Rattus norvegicus: one gene and its partners. The protein of the gene in region 1 purifies or fractionates together with the protein of each later gene. This does not show direct contact. Links are inferred from orthologs where the notes say so. Each region holds a gene or a part of one and is shown in the gene's direction. Other genes may lie near its edges.

Region 1 (3,137 bases):
CTTGGAAGCCAGGCTCACACTAAGTACAAGAATGGGCACTGCTGTTAACACTGCCTCTCCAAACATATGAGTACTGTGACTCAGATGCAAACATCCGTGGGTCGCACAGGACTCCCTCGCCCTCCTCCATGCTGGCTGTGCTGCTGGGCAGGGTCATGCGGTTGAACTGTCCCTGCCCCAGGTGTTTCTATGGCATGTGCCACTTTAGAATCTAATAAGCATGCTTGCCACGTGAGGCTGGACAGCAGCTTGTCATGAAGAGACCCACCACCTAGTATAAGTGTGGTCCCTGTTAAAGGCATAACCAAAGCAAATACTTCCTTTGTCCCTGTTGCCCCTTACAAGCCCAGGTCTGTACTCCGGCCCTTCCACACAGAGTGTGTGAGCCTCCTCCATGGGTGCCAACACTTCCCGAGGACCCAGAGGCAGGCTGCTTGGTAACCACATGTGCTCAGTGCTCACTGTCTCTTTGGAAATTCTTCTTCTAGGATGGCAAGGTCAATGGAGTGACAGAGTCCACACGCATCCTGGGCTACACCTTCCTTCACCCCAGTGTGGTGCCTCGCCCCCACGTACAGTCGGTGCTTCTGACTCCACAGGATGAGTTTTTCATCCTGGGCAGCAAAGGGCTGTGGGACAGCCTGTCCATCGAAGAGGCTGTGGAAGCCGTGCGCAACGTTCCAGATGCTCTAGCCGCCGCCAAGAAGCTATGCACCCTGGCCCAGAGCTACGGCTGCCACGACAGCATCAGTGCTGTGGTGGTGCAACTCAGTGTCACGGAAGACAGCTTCTGCTGCTGTGAGCTCAGTGTGGGAGGGAGCATGCCACCGCCCAGTCCCGGAATCTTCCCGCCCTCCGTCAGCATGGTGATCAAGGACCGGCCCTCAGATGGGCTGGGCGTGCCGTCCTCCAGCAGCGGCATGGCATCTGAGATCAGCAGTGAATTGTCTACCTCTGAGATGAGTAGTGAGGTGGGCTCCACAGCTTCTGACGAGCCGCCGTCGGGAGCCCTGAGTGAGAGCAGCCCCGCCTACCCCAGCGAGCAGCGCTGCATGCTCCACCCGGTCTGCCTGTCCAACTCCTTCCAGCGCCAGCTGTCCAGCGCCACTTTCTCCAGTGCGTTCTCTGACAACGGCCTTGACAGTGATGACGAGGAACCCATTGAGGGCGTGTTCAGCAACGGCAGCCGGGTGGAGGTGGAAGTGGACATCCATTGCAGCCGGGCCAAGGAGAAGGAGAGACAGCAGCACCTGCTTCAGGTGCCAGCTGAAGCCAGTGATGAGGGCATTGTCATCAGTGCCAATGAGGATGAGTCAGGTCTGTCCAAGAAGACAGACATTTCTGCTGTGGGGACCATTGGGCGACGCAGGGCTAACGGCTCTGTAGCTCCCCAGGAAAGGAGCCATAATGTAATAGAGGTTGCCACAGATGCACCTCTCCGGAAGCCGGGAGGCTATTTTGCAGCCCCTGCTCAACCAGATCCAGATGATCAGTTTATCATCCCCCCAGAGCTGGAAGAGGAAGTCAAAGAAATCATGAAACATCACCAGGAGCAGCAGCAGCAGCAGCAGCAGCAGCAGCAGCAGCAGCAGCAGCAGCAGCAGCCACCACCTCCACCCCAGCCGCCACAGGCACAGGCACAGGCACAGGCACAGGCACAGAGGCCCTTCCAGATGGATCACCTGCCGGACTGTTACGACACACCACTATGACCCAGCCTGCGTACTGTTTTAAACAATAAACTAACCAGAGAGGCCGAGAGAGTGTCCCAGGCTCACGTTAAACCAGGGGTGTTGCTTCATGCCCTCTCCCAGACACTGCCCCGCCTGTCTCTGCAGCTCATCTCTAGGCTCTCTTTGTATTAGTTACTTTTAATAATTAACCACTTTTCTTCTAGTGACACTTTACCAATATGATTTAAATTTGTTAACTTCTTTCCCTAACATATCAACTGTGTAAAGACAAAGAACAAAAGGTTTAATATATTACAGAGAAACAGTAAATGATAATGTAATATTTTTAAAAATGGCTTTTTGTTGTTTTGTTCGTTTGGAAGGCAGGGCTAGTTGCCGTTGCTAAATGATTTAATAATACTGTAATGTGTATTTCTTTGTGGGGAAAGCTTTTTTTTGTCTTGAAAATGATAGACATTTGTAGAATATGGAGACTAACTCCTAGGAGTTGCTTTACTCTGTCAGTGACTTAAGTCACTGGGACTCACTAATTTTCTCTGAGAGAACAGTTGATTGAGAAATTTCTATTGTAAATAGCTCAGTGTTACATAATGAAGCTTAAAGTGTTTGTAGTCTTGGCATAGGGACACGGCCGAAATAACTGACTCCTTCCTCGCTCTGCAGAGCCTCCCCTGCCCCAGCCACCTCGCCCATGTGCAGTGTGGGCCATTTGCTCAGTGTGCTTCTGTGCAGATAATGTGGCCCTGCTCTCGGGAGCCCAGAACCTTTTACAGACACTTTTTAATTGTGTTCCTTCCTGCTGCCACAATCAGCATGACTGTATAGAGTCCCTTAGACCAGCCACACATCCAGAGTTATATGGAAACAGAATGCCCAAATGGACATGTCGTAATTTTTGTTATAATAAATATGAAATTTACAAGTACTGGAGCCATCTGCTTTTGTCTCAGCATCCCGGTGTGTCTTACAATCACACCAGCTTAGGATTGGAAGGAATAGGTGGTGGGGGTTGAGATTAACCCACATGGGTTTGGGGTTTGTTTCCTTAACACTCAAGTTCAGCTGCATACAGTGAATGAGGTAGTGAAATTGACCTTCTGGTCAACTGTATGCACAACTGCTGTTACCCTTTTCTTTCTATTATTATGCAAGGTAGACACTAAAAGAGGACTGAGTGGACACTGCATAGAGGAGAGCCCTGCAGAGAACCTGCACACCTGCAGAACCAAGATGGTTTTCAACCCTTCCAGGAGACCATGTGTGCATCCCATGCACCTTCCGTAGTGACTGTCAATTAAGAGCTGTCTGTGGAAGACTGGGGACATCTACTCTACCTGTCTCCCCTCAGGTGTGCACTGAGTACTACTTGGCAGCCCAGACCACTGACCGAGACCACAGAATGAGTTTGCTCATTACAGCACAGGGTTGAACCCGGTGCCTGAG
Region 2 (4,356 bases), on another chromosome or scaffold:
ATTTAAAGCAGGGCGGTGGTGGCACACAATTTTGATCCCAGAACTCAAGAGGCAGAGGCAGGCAGATCTCTGAGAGTTTGAGGACCACCTGATCTACAGATAGTCTCCAGAGAGCCAGGGGTACACAAAGAAACCCTGCCTTAAAAACAAAAACAAAAAAACAAACAACCCCAGCCCCAAAAGCATTTTAAACAGGGTGTGTGGTTCATATCTTTAACTTGGAGTCAGAGGCAGGTGGATTTGGTCTCCTATTGAGTTCCAGGACAGCCAGGGCTATTTAGTGAAATACTGTCTCAAAAAAAAAAATTGTGGTAGTGCTATTTTGTTTTTGCTGGCATGTATGAAAGCTATAGGATGTAAGTGTCAAATGCATTATTACATCATTGGCACAGTTTCTACTGTTTATGTACTTGCTTCCCACTACATAAAATGGTTATGATTTACCTCCTTTAGAACACTCCTCTCTTGTGTACAAATTAATTTTTGTGAGGTTGGAGTGTTGCTCTGTGGGCTCAGGTAGCCGCCTCCCACCCTCTCTGGGCTCAGGCACTTCTGTCTGGAAGCACAGGTGCCCCCCACTGGGCTCGCTCCACTTATTTTCCGCTCTACAGACATGACTTCTCAGGGATAGTTCATTCTTCGTCTATCATTTTTCCCTATTCTAGAATTCTATTGTAACGTTTATTACTTTAGAAGCCTTCGTATTCCAGTGCACATACCTAGAAATCGATGCATCAAATGCTGACTGTTTAGTTCTACTTTAATGAGAGTATGCTTGTCCTTTCTAAAGTCTAAATAGTCTAAATAGACTTTGTACAGAACATTCGTTACAACGATATGGTTCTCCTAGCAAATAATTTCAGGTTCCGTTTGAGGCTTTAGAAAAGTCAGCTAGCTCTACCTTTCTTAAGCGGCAAAGGAGACTTAAGTTCTAACACAACCTACTTTCTCAAGAACAAGCCAACGCTCACGTGAGGTTTCAGATGAGACTTGGAAACACATTTAAGCTGTTCTTCCCACCCCGCCTTCAAAACAAAACAAAACAAAACCGTGAGGGGTAATAAAGCTCAATCCTTCGATATCTTCTGTGAGACTGTTTTTGGGAAGCGTAGAGCGTCTTAGCACCCAGCACCCAACCGGACTGTCTGAGTCCTCCTCAGCTTCCAAGGGAGGATCGCGTACAGCTGGGACGCACAGGTCCAAACACCGGACTTCACTGCTCGCCTCAGGCTTCGCCGGGACCAGCAGCCGGCCGAGGTCAAGGCGGGGCCCTCCCTTAGGGAAAGGGTCTCTCAGCGAAGCTGCAGAAAGAGATTCACCTTGGTGCAGACCGGTTCCTGCACCAATGCTCGGCACGCGCGCTTCCACCAGCACTCAGAGGGCGGCACCCAGGGGGCGGAGTTTGGCGCACGCCCCTCGGGGTGGAGCGCGCCAGGTGAGCGCGCGTGCGCACTTAGACTGTAAACTGGCCCGCCCCTTTCGCTTCGGCCCGCCTTCATGGGGGCTGGCTCGCCAATGGGCGGGGCCGCGAAGAAGGGGGTGGGGAGTGGAGAGCGAGCGGCCGAGGACGGCGCCTGCGCGGTGGGCGTGATCCGGGCACTTAGGGCAGGATGAACGCTGCTTTCCAAGATGGCGACGGAGGGAGGAGGGAAGGAGATGAACGAGATTAAGACCCAATTCACCACCCGGGAAGGTCTGTACAAGCTGCTGCCGCACTCGGAGTACAGCCGGCCCAACCGGGTGCCCTTCAACTCGCAGGGATCCAACCCTGTCCGCGTCTCCTTCGTAAACCTCAACGACCAGTCTGGCAACGGCGACCGCCTCTGCTTCAATGTGGGCCGGGAGCTCTACTTCTATATCTACAAGGGGGTCCGCAAGGTACCGACCCGGGCGTCACCGGGGGCACGCCGGCGGTGCCGGCCGAGGCCGGGAGCTGGGCGGTGACAGCGAGGCCGGGGTGACCGGTGGGGGCGGCCGGCACTTGTACTTTTGAGTGGGCCGGTAACTCCGTTGAGGTACTCTGAGTGGAGGAGAGGGTGTTTAGGAGTGAGGCGCCGGCGGCAGCGCTGCCTCGAAGGGGAGGGGGCTCTGGAACCGGGTCGCGGGGATGCCCCGGGAGTAGCCGGTCGCCTCTCCCCGGAGGGGTCCGTCAGGTTCCGATACCGACAGGGAGCGGGCCTGCGAGTCCCCGGAAGAGATACGGCGGCCGTCTTAGGTGGCCTCGCTTCCCGGGAGGCTCGAGAGTCCTGCCCTGGGTGAGAGAACCGGGACGCGAGGAGGCTTGGAAAGGTCCGTAAGGCGGAACCGGGACAGGGAGGCGGAGGACTTGGAGACTAGGTCAGAAAGGACCTGCTCGGCACGCAGGGCTACTCCACCTGCTGCCGCACTGACACTTCTCCTGGTGTCAGCACTGTTTCCAAAAACCTTCCCGGGAGGAAGGCTGTCATTGTCTCCGCGGAAGGAACCTTCTCCCGAAAGATTTTTGAAGAGGGTCATTCTGTCCCTTGTAGTATAATAGGGCTGAGTACTCAGACTAGGGAGGTTGAAATAATGTTTTCAATAAGCTAAGTTGCTTCAGAGGTGTTCTGTGTGAGCGTGCCTAGATTTATCTTGTCTAACAAGTCAGGCTATGTCCCAAACAGGGAGGGATAGGCCTTAAATGCTACTTTAAGTAACCAGCCAAGAACTTAACAGTAATTCTGTGACGCATGCCATCGAGTTTTAAAATATCTCGTTAAAAGCAATTTATTGGCGCTTTTTTTTTTGTCATTGGCAATATAACTATGTTCCAAGAACTGCTTATTTTAACTTTTGACCATTGAGAGAGTGAGGAAATGAACGCACTCCATAGCACTTCCGACAGAAGGTGACAAGGTGATGGAAGATTCACTTATAAATGTTGAGATAGTGGGGAAGTGAGTTGTCCATATTGAAGAGGACATGTTCCCAGGGATGAATAGATCAGCTGCTTTTTTTACGCTGTACTGTGTAGGTTAGGAGGACAAGGAAAGGGACAATGGTATGGTATGCAAACGTAGCTTGTTTCTTTGGCCCAAGGTGATCTTCTGACTTGTCTTTATTCTTGTCAGTGTACTAACCAAGTGTTTGAAAATAGCTGGCTGACTCCTCTTTCTCTCTCTCTCTTGGGATTAGGAAAGTATCCAGTGGTTTGAAGTGTAGGAACTGAAGTTTTAGTGCTGCTCCCAACTCTGTTACTGACTCATTGGTGACCTTGGATATGTGGGAAACTTTACTTTGCGCCTCTTTAAAAAGGGAGGGCTGCAGTGCACATGTTGTAATTCGTAATGGCAGTAATGGCAGTAATGGCATTAGAGTCCTGACACACTCAGGAGATGTAAATTACAGTTAAAGCAAGCTTAGGGAGCAGCTGCCATCTCAACATGCCTGCTCTGTCTGAAACAGCAGACTTTTCTCTGGAAATAAATGTTACCAACACCTACCTTTAGGGGCTGGAGCAAAGGCTCAGTGGTTATTGACTTGTGCTGCTCTTGCAGAGGACTCCAGTTCAGTTCCCAGCACCCATGTCAGGCTGCTCACAACTGCCTGAAACTCAAGCTCCGGGGAATCGCATGTCCTTTTCTGGGTTCTGGGTACCCACTTACAGCTCACACAATAAGTTTAAAAATAAAAGAAATCTTAGAAAAGTATAATTAGACCCTACCATGGTTGTGTATACCGCAATCCTAGCACTCAAATTGTGGCTAGCCAGGACTATAGTTGGCAAGTTCAGGGCCAACCTGTGCTACAGTTAGCACATCTGAGGCAAGCACGGGCTATATGGTGGGGCCCTCTCTCAAGAAAAAAAAAATCCAAAACCAGGTGGGTGTGGTAGCATGCATCTTGACAGGTGGATCTCTGAGTTCAAGACCAGCCTGCCCTACATAGAGTTTCAGGCCAGCTAGGACTACATAGTAAGAACCTGTTTCAAAAAACAACTCCCTCAATCTAAAACCAAAAAGACAAAAATAGTGATGATGTAAAAATACAATGTGCTTAGAAGTTAAATTTGTGGGGCCTGGAAGAGGGCTCAGTAGTTAAAGAGTACCTGGTGTTCTTCTGAACCTAGATCCCATCTCTTACTTCAGGCAGCTCACAGACACCTGTAGTTACAGCCCTCTTCAAACCTCTTTGGGTACCTGCGTACATGTGGCATTCACATATATGTGTATAAATAAATAAATAATAAACTTTAAAAAGTTAAATTTACTCCTAGTGATTACTATTACTAGTTCAGTCATCACTTCCTATCCCCCATTTTTGTTTCTTGCCCCCCCCCCCCCCATTGTGGCCAGGGAGCCCAGGCAATTTTGTATCATTCTCATGACACACTTCATC
Region 3 (3,649 bases), on another chromosome or scaffold:
GGTTCACAACCACCTGTAACTCCCAGCTTCTGGCAGCCTCTTCTAGCCTCAATAGGCAGTTCATCACATGCACAAATGCATATATATATATATATATATATATATATATATATATATATATATACCCATAATTAAAATAAAAATAAATCACATATTAAGCTCTGGGCTTGTTTGTTCCTGTCTGTGTCTAGACATTTTTTTCTTTTTTAAATAATCACAATGAGTTTATTGGGATGGTTCCCACTTACCTGGATTCAGGGGTTTTGTTTCTTCCCCTCTCCTGAGAAGCCCCTCCTGAAGCCCTGCTTCCTCTTCCACAGGCTGGCAGAAAACGGTGGAGGCCAACACACAAGACTAGCATTTGTTCGTGGCTAACAGCCTGGGGTTTATAGTGTCCTGGACATCTCACAGCAGGAACTGGGGCTCTGCACCAGGCCCTTGGATTTCTCCTGTTCTTGTGAAACAAGAGGCACATTTTGTCCTGCAAGACTTGAATAAAATTTATGTGAAATGTCTTAAGAACCAATCCATATATAAATTCTATTTCTCTCTTTAATGACCACATAGAAATGTCAGTAGAGTACATTTTCTAAATCTTTATTATTATTATTGGAGTGGGGATCACATGCCGTGGTACATGCAGAGGTTAGAGGACAACTTGGTGAGTGGGCTCTCTGCTTCCACCTTATATAGATTCCAAGGGTCATATTCAGGTCCCCAGACTTGTGTGGCAAGCACCTTTACCTGATAAGCCACATCTTGCCAGCCTAATGTATGGTAGTGTAACTTTTCCTTATTAAAGATATTGTTTCTATTTTTCATTGTTCTATAATTTATTGAAAAAAATACAATAGTAGAAGCTGGGTACGGTAGCACATACTTGTAGTCCAACACTTGAGCAGCTGAGGTGGGAGGATTAGGAACTCAAGACCATCCTGAGCTATATAGAAAGTTCCAGGTCATCCTGGGCTACATGGTGAATCATAGTAAAAGTTATAAAATAATAAAAAAGTCCTTTCAAAAGTAAATAGAGATAATATGGATTGTATAAAAGACAGAGGTTCAGGGCTGGAGAGATGGCTCAGCAGTTAAGAGCACTGTCTGCTCTTCCAGAGGTCCTGAGTTCAAATCCCAGCAACCACATGGTGCTCACAACCATCTATAATCAGGTCTGGAGCCCTCTTCTGGCCTACAGGCAGAAAGCTGTATGATGTATATATACATAATAAATAAATGTTAAAAAAGAGGTTCAGTTATTAAATTCCACTGTCCAAAGATGGACTCAAGAAGAACAGAGAAAACAGACAGCAGCATCCACACAGGCCTGGTCTGCAGACATGAAGCACCACAACTTTAGATTGAAAGTGCTTTCCAAATGCACAGCAAAGAACAAAAATCCAGAAATGTCAAAACACAAGAAGATTCCAAAAGCCCGGGGTAGGCTAAGGTGTCCGGGAGAGAAGACAGATGAGGCCTTGTTGATGGACAGTGAGGGTGTGGAGTTTGCTGGTGACAGTAGGTGCTACACTAAAGGAGCTTTGTACACAGACGTCCATCTTTGTTTGTTCCACATGACAGAGTCCCGGCCTTGCACCTGCCAAGCGCCTTGCGCTTCCTAGGCAAGCGCTCTACCACTGAGCTAAATCCCCAACCCTAATCTAAACTTCTTTAAATGTGAGGGTAGAAGAGAGAGCTTTCCAGTCATGCAGGGATTTCTACTCTTCAGCAGTGAGTGAGGCAAGCTTCTCCATCTGCTCTGGGCTTGAGGGAAAGCTTGCTCGAGTGTTCTGTCACCCGTGGGCTTTATGTGCACTGCAGTCATGCATGCCGTTGGAGGAGGATGTGCTGGGGTAAAGCGTTCAGATGCACAGCACAGGACACCAGCCATTTCACATGCTTACTTGTAAGGGTCTACAGATCTTGTCCTAGTGTCTGTCAGCCAGCGAGAGGCAAAAGAGGGTTGGTGGGGGTGGCTTCTTCCCATGTTTCCTTTGTTTTCTGACTGACTGTCCTGCCTCAATGGGATATTGGATATATTCCAGTATACACTGTTGAAAGGTTGGTGAAAATGGATTAGACAAATCAGGGCAGAGAGGAGGCTTGGAGACTTAGGTGTCTGGGTCATTAGCAGCAAGAAGACCTCTGCTTGTCTCGAGCTGGGCTCAGTAACGCTGTTCTTCTCACAGCACTTCGGTCCTCCTGAAGTAAGATAAAAACAAACTACATGAGCTTGAAGTTAGTTTGGCACTGCTAGGCCACGCCTCACCATGGCTTGGCTTTTGTTGGCCCATCAGGTTTCCTATGTAATTCGAGATGAAGTGGAGAAGTACAATCGGAACGGAGTCAATGCCCTGCAACTGGACCCAGCACTCAACAGACTCTTCACAGCAGGTCGAGACTCCATCATAAGAATATGGAGTGTCAATCAGCACAAGGTAAGGCAGGAGTCGTGCATTTGGGTTAACTCGTATCTTGGACCAGTGGCTCTGTCTGATGGAGCACCTCTCCTCAGTCCTGGCTTTAATCTCAGCACTGAGCTCCTTAATATATTGTATAAAGACATCACCATAGTCCTGTAAGCCTGTGAGAAAACACCTCCAGGGAAGTTTCACAAGTGTTTTTACTTAACTCAGACTCGGGCGCCATAAGTTAGTTTGCCGTAGGGGTTCCCCGCACAGAGGACTGAGAGTACTTGGCTGCTGCGACTTGAGACTCTCCATGGAATTCTGGCTTAGTTATGAATCCAAAAAGTCTCTGGATAACAGTGCTGAAAATAGAAAAACAAAATGTTGAGTGTGTGTACTTTTACAAAAGCGATTAAGGACCTCCTAACACGCTAGGGTCTTATTGGCTAATGTGGTAGGTATGAAGCAGCAAGGGCTACTCTCTCCTACTCCTCAGGGCTTCCTGAGGCTTTACTGCTACTTTTGCAGTGCTGAACATCAAGTTCTGGGCCTTGTGCATGCTAGACAAGCACCCTTCCACCACTGGCCTACGCCTCAGTTCTGAAGGGCTTCTGCGTAAGCAGGGAGGACACTCGCATGCGTGGGGAAGGAGAGTTGCACAAATGGGAGGAAGCTCTTGGGGTTTGTGAAGGTTACACTGTGAATGATGTAGAAAAATTGGGGAGGGGGGCATTTACTGACCTCTTATCTGTGCACCTAGTCCACCCCTGCTCACCACTCTCTGAATTTCCACAGTCCCTCCCAAGACTGTTAGCACTTAGAATCCCGATGGCTAAATGGCTAGTGTGGCAGTGAATTGGAGCTTAGACTCACTTCAGACTCCTGATCCAGAACCTGTTTAAGTCTGCCTTTTAGCCTGCTCTACAAACCAGTGTTCAGGGCAGAAAGAGGGTACTTGGCATAGCTGCCGGTAAGGTTTCGACAGTGGATTTGAGTTCTTGAGCAGGTGAAGGCAGTGTCAAAAGCATGAAAGTAAGAACGTGTGTTTTGTGTTTGCCTTTGCACCCCTGGGGACTCATGTTTGAATTAGACTATTGAGTTTTTGGGAGTTTGCAGTATTTTTAACAAATCAAGAGAAAATTAAAAGACCTTGCCTAGAAGAATCTGGCTGTCCTGCCCTCAGATATCTTTTCACTGGTTTTTATGACAAAGTCGCATGGCCTTGGTTCTTAGACAGGCAGAGC

The links.
Region 2: the proteins of Phlpp1 (region 1) and Wdr20 purify together in Homo sapiens (affinity purification with mass spectrometry; 4 studies listed by BioGRID and IntAct, with this or other methods). This does not show direct contact. The link is inferred for Rattus norvegicus from reciprocal best matches to the Homo sapiens genes PHLPP1 and WDR20.
Region 3: the proteins of Phlpp1 (region 1) and Wdr48 purify together in Homo sapiens (affinity purification with mass spectrometry; 5 studies listed by BioGRID and IntAct, with this or other methods). This does not show direct contact. The link is inferred for Rattus norvegicus from reciprocal best matches to the Homo sapiens genes PHLPP1 and WDR48.

What each region holds. Positions count from the first base shown.
Region 1 is NC_086031.1:23,043,002-23,046,138, forward strand, and holds the end of Phlpp1 (PH domain leucine-rich repeat protein phosphatase 1), read left to right. Parts: intron 1-488; coding exon 489-1,712; 3' UTR 1,713-2,618; downstream 2,619-3,137. UniProt on the Homo sapiens protein: Protein phosphatase involved in regulation of Akt and PKC signaling.
Region 2 is NC_086024.1:135,571,747-135,576,102, forward strand, and holds the start of Wdr20 (WD repeat-containing protein 20), read left to right. Parts: upstream 1-1,499; 5' UTR 1,500-1,629; coding exon 1,630-1,878; intron 1,879-4,356. UniProt on the Homo sapiens protein: Regulator of deubiquitinating complexes. Activates deubiquitinating activity of complexes containing USP12. Anchors at the base of the ubiquitin-contacting loop of USP12 and remotely modulates the catalytic center of the enzyme.
Region 3 is NC_086026.1:128,506,152-128,509,800, forward strand, and holds part of Wdr48 (WD repeat-containing protein 48), read left to right. Parts: intron 1-2,294; coding exon 2,295-2,435; intron 2,436-3,649. UniProt on the Homo sapiens protein: Regulator of deubiquitinating complexes, which acts as a strong activator of USP1, USP12 and USP46. Enhances the USP1-mediated deubiquitination of FANCD2; USP1 being almost inactive by itself.